2 linked regions of the Danio rerio genome follow. The protein of the gene in region 1 interacts with the protein of each later gene in a pairwise test. Links are inferred from orthologs where the notes say so. Each region holds a gene or a part of one and is shown on either strand. Other genes may lie near its edges.

Region 1 (3,835 bases):
GAATGGATTTAGAAGTCAGCAATTAAGGTTAAATTAAACAATTAAACTGGATAAATGAGTGTGCAAAAATAAATATCCAATATCAATCTAGGTAAAATATCCAATATTAATCAAAATCAATCCAGATAAATACAGCTGAAAATATAGTGTATGTTTATTCATTCATTAATTTTCTTGTCGGCTTAGTCGGGGTCCCCACAGCGGAATGAAAAAGCAAGTTTTTACGCAGCGGATGCCCTTCCAGCCGCAACCCATCTCTGGGAAACATCCACACACACACACACGCACGCACGCACACACACACACACACACACACACACACACACACACACACAAACACACACACACACTCACACACTACGGACAATTTAGCCTATCCAATTCACCTGTACCGCATGTGTTTGGACTGTGGGGGAAACCAGAGCACCCGGAGGAAACCCACGCGAGCGCAGGGAGAACATGCAAACTCCACGCAGAAACGTCAACTGGGCCGAGGCTCAAACCAGCTACCCAGTGATCTTCTTGCTGTGAGGCGACAGCACTATACTGCGCCACTGCTTCAGCCCTTGTATGTTTGTAAATATTTAAATATATTGTATTTTAGTGTATGTTTTAAATATGCCAAAAAGTGTTTTTAATATAATAATAACAAACCAGTTATTAAATATAAGATTTATAAAAGATCTGAATGGATTTAGAAGTAAGCAATCTTAAGTAAGGTCATCTAAAGAAAAAAAACTGGATAAATGAGTGTGCAAAAATAAATATTCAATATCACTCTAATAAAAAATAAATAAATCAACAGCATTCTATTTACTTCATTACATTTTTGTAAAAAAATATGCTTTTTCAAATTTACTGAATGCATGAATAAACTCAGCTGTCTCTATAGTTTAACTGCAATGGTTATGAATCACCATGAAAAATGTCTTGGAGGCGCTGCCATACCTGCTTGTTATTTTGAAATGTTGTGTGGCAGTGTACGTGATGCTTATGATTGTGTTTCAGAATCTCTCAGCGAGGCCCTGAAAGGCATCAGTGTGAGCACAGAGCTGGTGGAGGAGGAGCTGAAGCCTCATCTGGATGTTCTGCTCAACCTGCTATTAGAGAAGAGTGAGTCTACAACATTAACTATCCCTCCTCAGTCTATTTATACACCACTGTGTGTCATTCCCAAAAATCCATATTTCTAAACTAAAGCAACGTCAAATTCTGGTGCCATCACCTTTTCAAGAGCCTGTAAAAAGCTGTCAAATAAATTGTGATTATAATTTTTGTGATATAAACACATCTTATGTTTATTCATTCATTCATTAATTTTCTTGTCGGCTTAGTCCCTTTATTAATCCGGGGTCGCCACAGCGGAATGAACCGCCAACTTATCCAGCAAGTTTTTACGCAGCGGATGGCCTTCCAGCCGCAACCCATCTCTGGGAAACATCCACACACACATTCACACACTCATACACTACGGACAATTTAGCCTACCCAATTCACCTGTACCGCATGTCTTTGGACTGTGGAGGAAACCGGAGCACCCGGAGGAAACCCACGCGAATGCAGGGAGAACATGCAAACTCCACACAGAAACACCAACTGAGCAGAGGTTCGAACCAACGACCCAGCGACCTTCTTGCTAGCTGCTGGCTTCTCTATTACTATAGCTGATTATCCATGTGGATGGATGATAACAGCCTTCTGAGCCTACCAGTAGGTGCAGAAGGCCCATACTGGCCCATATCTATCAGCTGATAACCACTGATGATGCCTATTCAATCGAGTGATATCATTCGAAGCAAGTGCAGATGGTTTGAATCCAAAAATTACAATTAATGCTGCTATGATCTATCTATCTATCTATCTATCTATCTATCTATCTATCTATCTATCTATCTATCTATCTATCTATCTATCTATCTATCTATCTATCTATCTATCTATCTATCTATCTATCTATCTATCTATCTATCTATCTATCTATCTATCTATCTATTTATCTATCTATCTATCTATGTATCGTCAATCAATATGAACATGTGACTAACATTGATTAACAATTAAATTCTATAAATCAGAATGTGGTTGAGAAACACTGGTGTAATGTGTATATATAGGAGACGCGGTGGCGCAGTAGGTAGTGCTGTCACCTCACAGCAAGAAGGTTGCTGGTTTGAGCCTCTGCTGGGTCAGTTGGCGTTGGAGTTTGCATGTTCTCCCCGCGTTCGCATGGGTTTTCAATGACAATGTGGTACAGGTGAATTAGCTAGGCTAAATTGTCCGTAGTGTATAAGTGTGTATAGATGTTTCCCAGAGATGGTTTGCCACTGGAAGGGCATTCGCTGCGTAAAACACATGCTGGATAAGTTGGCGGTTCATTCCACTGTGGTGACCCCCGATTAATAAAGGGACTAAGCCGAAAAGAAAATGTGTATATATATATATATATATATATATATATATATATATATATATATATATATATATATATATATATACACACACACACGCACACACACACACACACATATACAGATACACACACTCTGCTTGTTGCTCCTATTTCTCTTGGTTTATTATCTAAACCTCATACATCTAAATCTACATCCAATTCAGGGCCATGAACCTTACAAGAGCCCATAAAAAAGACCTCATCTCACCTAAAAGTGACGTATGTTGTTGACAGTAGCCCTACTGAGCAAGGCCATCATTTAGTGTTGCTCTCATTACAGACTCATCCTGCTGTGAGCTGCTATTTGCTTCTTCCTCCTTGAAGTTGTGTGTGTGTTTGTGTGTGTGTGTATGTTTAAGTGTGTGGGAAGACAATCCAATGTAGGGGGCAGCAGAGGGTCAGCTTATCTTCCTGACAGCAGATTTGGGGCACAAGTAGGAGACGAGTAATCCGCATTTACATTCGAGAGAGGGAGAGAGAGAAGGCGAAGGATAGAAAGGGTTAATCTCATTAATCTTTCTCTCCTTTTCTCCATTTCGCTCCCCATCTTCTGCTCATTCCGCAAATTAGTTTGCACCAGCTGTCCGTTCTTGGCTCGTCACTTGTGCTTTCGGATCGCGATTGCATCTAAAAATGGAAAAAGCAGCCTCCGCAAAAGAACACAAAGTAGATGTTTCCATAGCAGCTCGGCTTCCTCTGACAGCTTGACCTGCCATCGTGGCCTTTCTGGATGTTTTTTTGTCTTAAAGAGAACATTCTATAGTGACACATTTCCTCATGCTGGCAGCTCTGTCTCAGGAGCAGATCCTTGTCTTCCACTTTGAATGTGAACGGATTACTCTGAGGCCTTGCTGTCAGAGCAGCTCTGAAGTGCACGGTACAAAACCTGATGGAGGAGATGAAAGAAAAGGTGAAGCAACAGGAGGAGCGAGCTGAAAGAATGCGTGGTTTGAAATTGATTTGGCATCAGTGGAAAACAGGGAAAGCTTTGTTAAAGCTTTGTTGAAGCATTCATATGGTTTTTCAGTCCATCAAACAGAGCATGCATTCTGTAAAATATTTCACAAGACTTATCACAAGACAAAAGGTAAATGCAAAATAGACATTCTAGGTCAGGGGTGTCCAATCTCGATCCTGGAGGGCCAGTGTCCTGCAGATTTTAGCTCCAACTTGCCTCAACACATCTGCAAGGATGTTTCTAGAAAGCCTAGTAAGAGCTTGATTAGCTAGCCCAGGTGTGTCTGATTAAGGTTGGAACTAAACTTTGCAGGACACCGGCCCTTCAGGACCGAATTTGGACATGCCTGTTCTAGATACTAGATTTCTGTAATGTGAAGTGGGACGCTGACAAAGAAAGTGTGGATCCAAACGCAGGTTTATTAAACA
Region 2 (4,604 bases), on another chromosome or scaffold:
ATAATAATAATAAATACTTTTAACTAACAATTATTACTAGCAAAATACTTAATAAACATGATTTATTATCATTAAATAACAGTAAATGACCATGCATTAAATAAATACAAATATAAATAAAATACGTAATTAAATAATAATAATGATTTTATTATTATTATTATTATTAATAATAATAATAATAATAATAATAATAATAATTATTATTATTATTGTTGTTGTTATTATTATTATTATTATTATTATTATTATTACCATTATTATTATTAATACCATTTTTATATCTGTTGCTTCTGCTGTATTTACGGATAATAAATAATATTATGCAAAATAATATTTTATTTATGTATTGGTTATAGTAACATTAATAGTTATTATTATTAGTAGCAGTAGGATTATAAATAATTACAAATACATTTATGAATGGCCATGGATTGCAATAAATACATTTATAAGTGTACAATGGAACTAAATGTGTTGTTATTATTATTTTTTATTATTATTATAGCTGTTGCTGCTGCTATATTTCAGTATCACAAATAGCATTATTTGAAATTAGCATTCATTGTGTATTGATTTTACCAACGTTGATTATAAATGATCAATATTAATAACAGTAGTTGATATTAATATAGATAAAATACATTAAAATTACCATGCATTGCAACAAGTACATTTCTAAATATACTATGGGGCTAAATGTTATTATTAATTATTATTATTATTATTATTGCTATTGTTAATAATAATAATAATAATAATAATAATAATAATAATAAGTCATTATTCTTTTTTAACAATAGCAATAATAATAATAATAATAATAATTACATTATTATCTTAGAATTACTTTTATTAATAATAAAAAATAACAATAATAATAATAAAAAAATTATCATTTTAAAATAATAAGTAAACATTATATATGATGATTTAAATATACTTTTAATAATCAGGCTTAGCAAAAACACACATTTCTAAAACTATGACACTTAATACACCATAATAATGATGCTTAATATATTACAAACAAAAGTTAACACACTCAGGCCCTTTGACTGTGAAAACCAGTCAAATTAACATGATCTATAGCGCTCAAGATTAAGGGCAATTCCTGGGTTATAAAACTAGTGCCGTCATGCAGTGATGACTAAGCATGACACGTTTCAGTGATAAATGTGTTTATAGGTCGGTTACTTCAATGGTTTAAAAATAGCTAGCTTGATATAACTACTCCAGTTATTTAACATTTGCTAAATTTAGCCAAAGGGGAGATTAAAGATTAGCATGTGACCCTGATTATATACCAACAAACCTTTTTTTATACCAACAGAATGACTTAGACTCTCTTTTGTTAGGACATCCAATTGAATGAGTTTACGAAGGCATTAAATAATTGCAAAAAGTCGATTTATTATGGTTAGGTCAGTCTGTATATGGAGATTAAGATTAAGTGTGAGCATGCATACTCATCATTCAATGTGAACAAGTAGACTTAATGCACAAAAATACACACAAGCATGAAGTTAAACACACAAAAGGGGAGCGAATATTCCACAGACAACTAGTAGAAACTCAGACTGTGCTTTAATCTGAGATTACTGGTCACTTTGGCCTGTTTAAGGGATTAAAGGAAGAGTCATCAAACTATTCCAGCTCTACAAAAGCCGAGTGAAGGCTGAGACGACTAACAGTCATCGCCGAGTTACAAACAAAACACTTATCAGACCTGCAGCACAACACTGGGAATATTGCTTTTTTTTTGTTGTGGTGTCTGACTGGCCAGGGCTCATGATGGCTCTGCTCAAATCCGGCTGGCTCTGGAGACAGTGTAAGTGGAAGATTTGTTTATTAATGCTTATGTGAAGAGTTTTGTAATCTTATTAAGGATAGCAGAGGAATGGAAACACTTTAAGTATACAGCAGAAAATGCTGTAAAATTTACAGTATTACTGGCAATTTTGGTTGCCAGTAATACTGTCAAATATACAAGCGCACTGTAAATTAATAATTAATAAACAGCACAGTTTTAATTGTTCATTTAAAGTGAAGTTGTAAATTACACAGTATTACTGGCAACAAAAATTGCCTGTTTATAAGTAGAACATGTTGCTGGATAAACATCTATGTTGATCCTGGAACAACATTTCAATCAGCCAATCAGAATTTAGGGATACATTTACAGTTTATGTTAAGCTTAGGCTAATAGTTAGAGTTACGTGCATCTATGAGGATTTGCAAATATTATTACCCTCTAATTTTGGGAATAATTTACAGTTAGGGTTGGGTTTAGGGGCAAAGATTATGTATGGAGCACATTTTCAAACAAAAAATGATGTTTCAGGACCAACATAGATGTTAATGTAGGATCGCGTCCTAGTTGGGTTAGACCACCCAATAAAGTACATATTCTGCATGATCATATCTCTAATCCAATCCAAACCCAACCGATAGCATAATAAATTAAACTATATAATAAACTATAAATAAGCAGCAAATGAGGAGTTCACTAAGCTAAAAGCCATCTTTAATGGTTTGATAATAGCGAGAATTGTACCTTAAAATAAAGTGTGACCATGGGAGTTTCATTTTTAGGGACACAAATTAAGGAAGAAGCAATCCTAATGTTTATATTTATATTAAAATATAGATGGTCAAAAGCACAAATGCTGTTTTAGAAGTGTCTGGCTGCAAATTCTGTGAAATTTAAATGGTCTAAATTGGAAAAATCCTATATATACACACACACTTAAATACATTAATTAAAAAAAGGACGAGGAGTACTGTTCCAGAAGGTCTGTTATGAAACTTCAGGCCTGACACTGTTAGCAATAATCCTCTTACGGTCAGTGTTACAGTGCACATTAGCTGCTAGCTGAATGTCCAGTTTGTTGTTGTGTGCTCGCTATAATAAAACACACGCAACTGACCAAGGGAGAATATCAAAATGTAATTTAAAAATGTAAAATGATTCCCACCAAAAAATAATGTCATGAAAATGTACTTTAGAATGTTCGTAATTCTGAGAATTAAGAATCAATGTGTTTACAGTCAATGGAGTGCACTCTAAATGCATTTACATGTGGTATAAAACTATTTTTATATTTTAACTATATTATCAATAAGTTAAATGGATAGCTCACCCAAAAATGGAAAATTATTTAATACATATCCACTCAGTAGTTTCGGATTTATATGAGTAGCTTTTTTCTGTTGAACCGAAAAGTAGATATTTGAAAGAATGTTGGTAACTGGTAGCCATTGACATCCATAAAATATATGGAAAAAACATATAGAAGCTTCCAACATTTTCCATAGTATCTTCCTTTGTATTCAAAAGAGAAAGAAACTGAAATGAATTTGGAAAAAGTGGAAGATGAGTAAGTAATGACGGAATTGAAATTTTTGGGTGAACTGTCCCATTTTGTTAGCAAATGTAGTATTAAAATAACTCAAAACAAATTCCAAGAACAAAGTTCTTAATTCTGAATTTTCATCCAAACTCTAAAAAAACAAAACTCAGCATTGCAAAATATAACGTTTAAATCCACTTTTTTTTCTTGTGTATAAAAATAGGCAAGAAATGTTCTATGGAAACATTATAACCTCGACAAAATCAGGGGACAAACAGAATTCACTTACAAATGTAATAATGTTGAAAATAATATTCAATTTCTTATTCAGACTTATCTTTTCACTTCATAACAAACACCTTGATGGTATCAGGAGCCACGGGTTTAACTTTAGTTTTGCTTATATATGTTTGCTTCTCTTTAAAGTGCCTGTAAAGGTTGATTTATTTATTATTAAGAACCACAGTTTTATCTAAAAAAAAAAAAAATCTTCTTTAATGTTCTGCTGAAGAAAAAAGTCACTATATTCTGAATTGGCTTGAGTAAATTTACAGCAGATTTTTTGAGGGTACGCTAAATTGGCCGTAGTTTATGTGTGTGAACACAAGAGTGTATAGGTGTTTCCCAGTGATGGGTTGCACCTGGAAGGGCATCCGCTGCATAAAAATTTATGCTGGATAAGTTGGCGGTTCATTCCTGTGTTGACCCCTGATTAATAAAGGGACTAAGCCAAAAAGAAAATGAATGAATGAATGAATTGTGTGAAACCCTACATTTTTTTTACACTGAATGATTATTGGTTTAGAGATCCTTTAAAAAAATCATGTTTTCGTATGCATAAAATCATACATATATATATATATATATGAATTAGCCAGTTTTCTGGCATTACGTTGAACAGTTATGTTGGCTCCTTAGATCAGCTGGTCTGTAAAGGAGACATAATTAATCACTTTAAGTTTTTGTTAAACAGCTTCTGTCCTCAAACGCTGGAAACTAAACTGGTGTGACCTGTGGATCGATGGAAGTTTTGTTTTTTACAAAAGTGAATCCAGAAGAGACTACGAGACCAAAGTGAATCTGAAGAGCAGCTGTGTGAATGTGAGGTCTGGACTGGAGTGTGCAGGTAAGGTTCGAACGTATTTATGCTAATAAACGCTTGAATTTAACATTGTTTTACTAAGCAGTGTGTTTATGGACAGGTGTAGGTCCACCCGAGAGTCACCCAAGGGAAAATCTGCTGGTAGTTTA

The links.
Region 2: the proteins of si:dkey-191g9.5 (region 1) and plekhb1 interact in binary tests that used the Homo sapiens proteins (3 or more experiments, as listed by UniProt). The two-hybrid records come from large-scale screens. The link is inferred for Danio rerio from reciprocal best matches to the Homo sapiens genes RAP1GDS1 and PLEKHB1.

The regions. Positions count from the first base shown.
Region 1 is NC_133188.1:24,892,860-24,896,694, reverse strand, and holds part of si:dkey-191g9.5 (rap1 GTPase-GDP dissociation stimulator 1-B), read left to right. Parts: intron 1-1,008; coding exon 1,009-1,113; intron 1,114-3,835. UniProt on the Homo sapiens protein: Acts as a GEF (guanine nucleotide exchange factor) for the Rho family of small GTP-binding proteins (G proteins) that stimulates the dissociation of GDP to enable subsequent binding of GTP.
Region 2 is NC_133185.1:41,791,759-41,796,362, reverse strand, and holds the start of plekhb1 (pleckstrin homology domain-containing family B member 1), read left to right. Parts: upstream 1-1,684; 5' UTR 1,685-1,791; coding exon 1,792-1,831; intron 1,832-4,326; coding exon 4,327-4,479; intron 4,480-4,555; coding exon 4,556-4,604.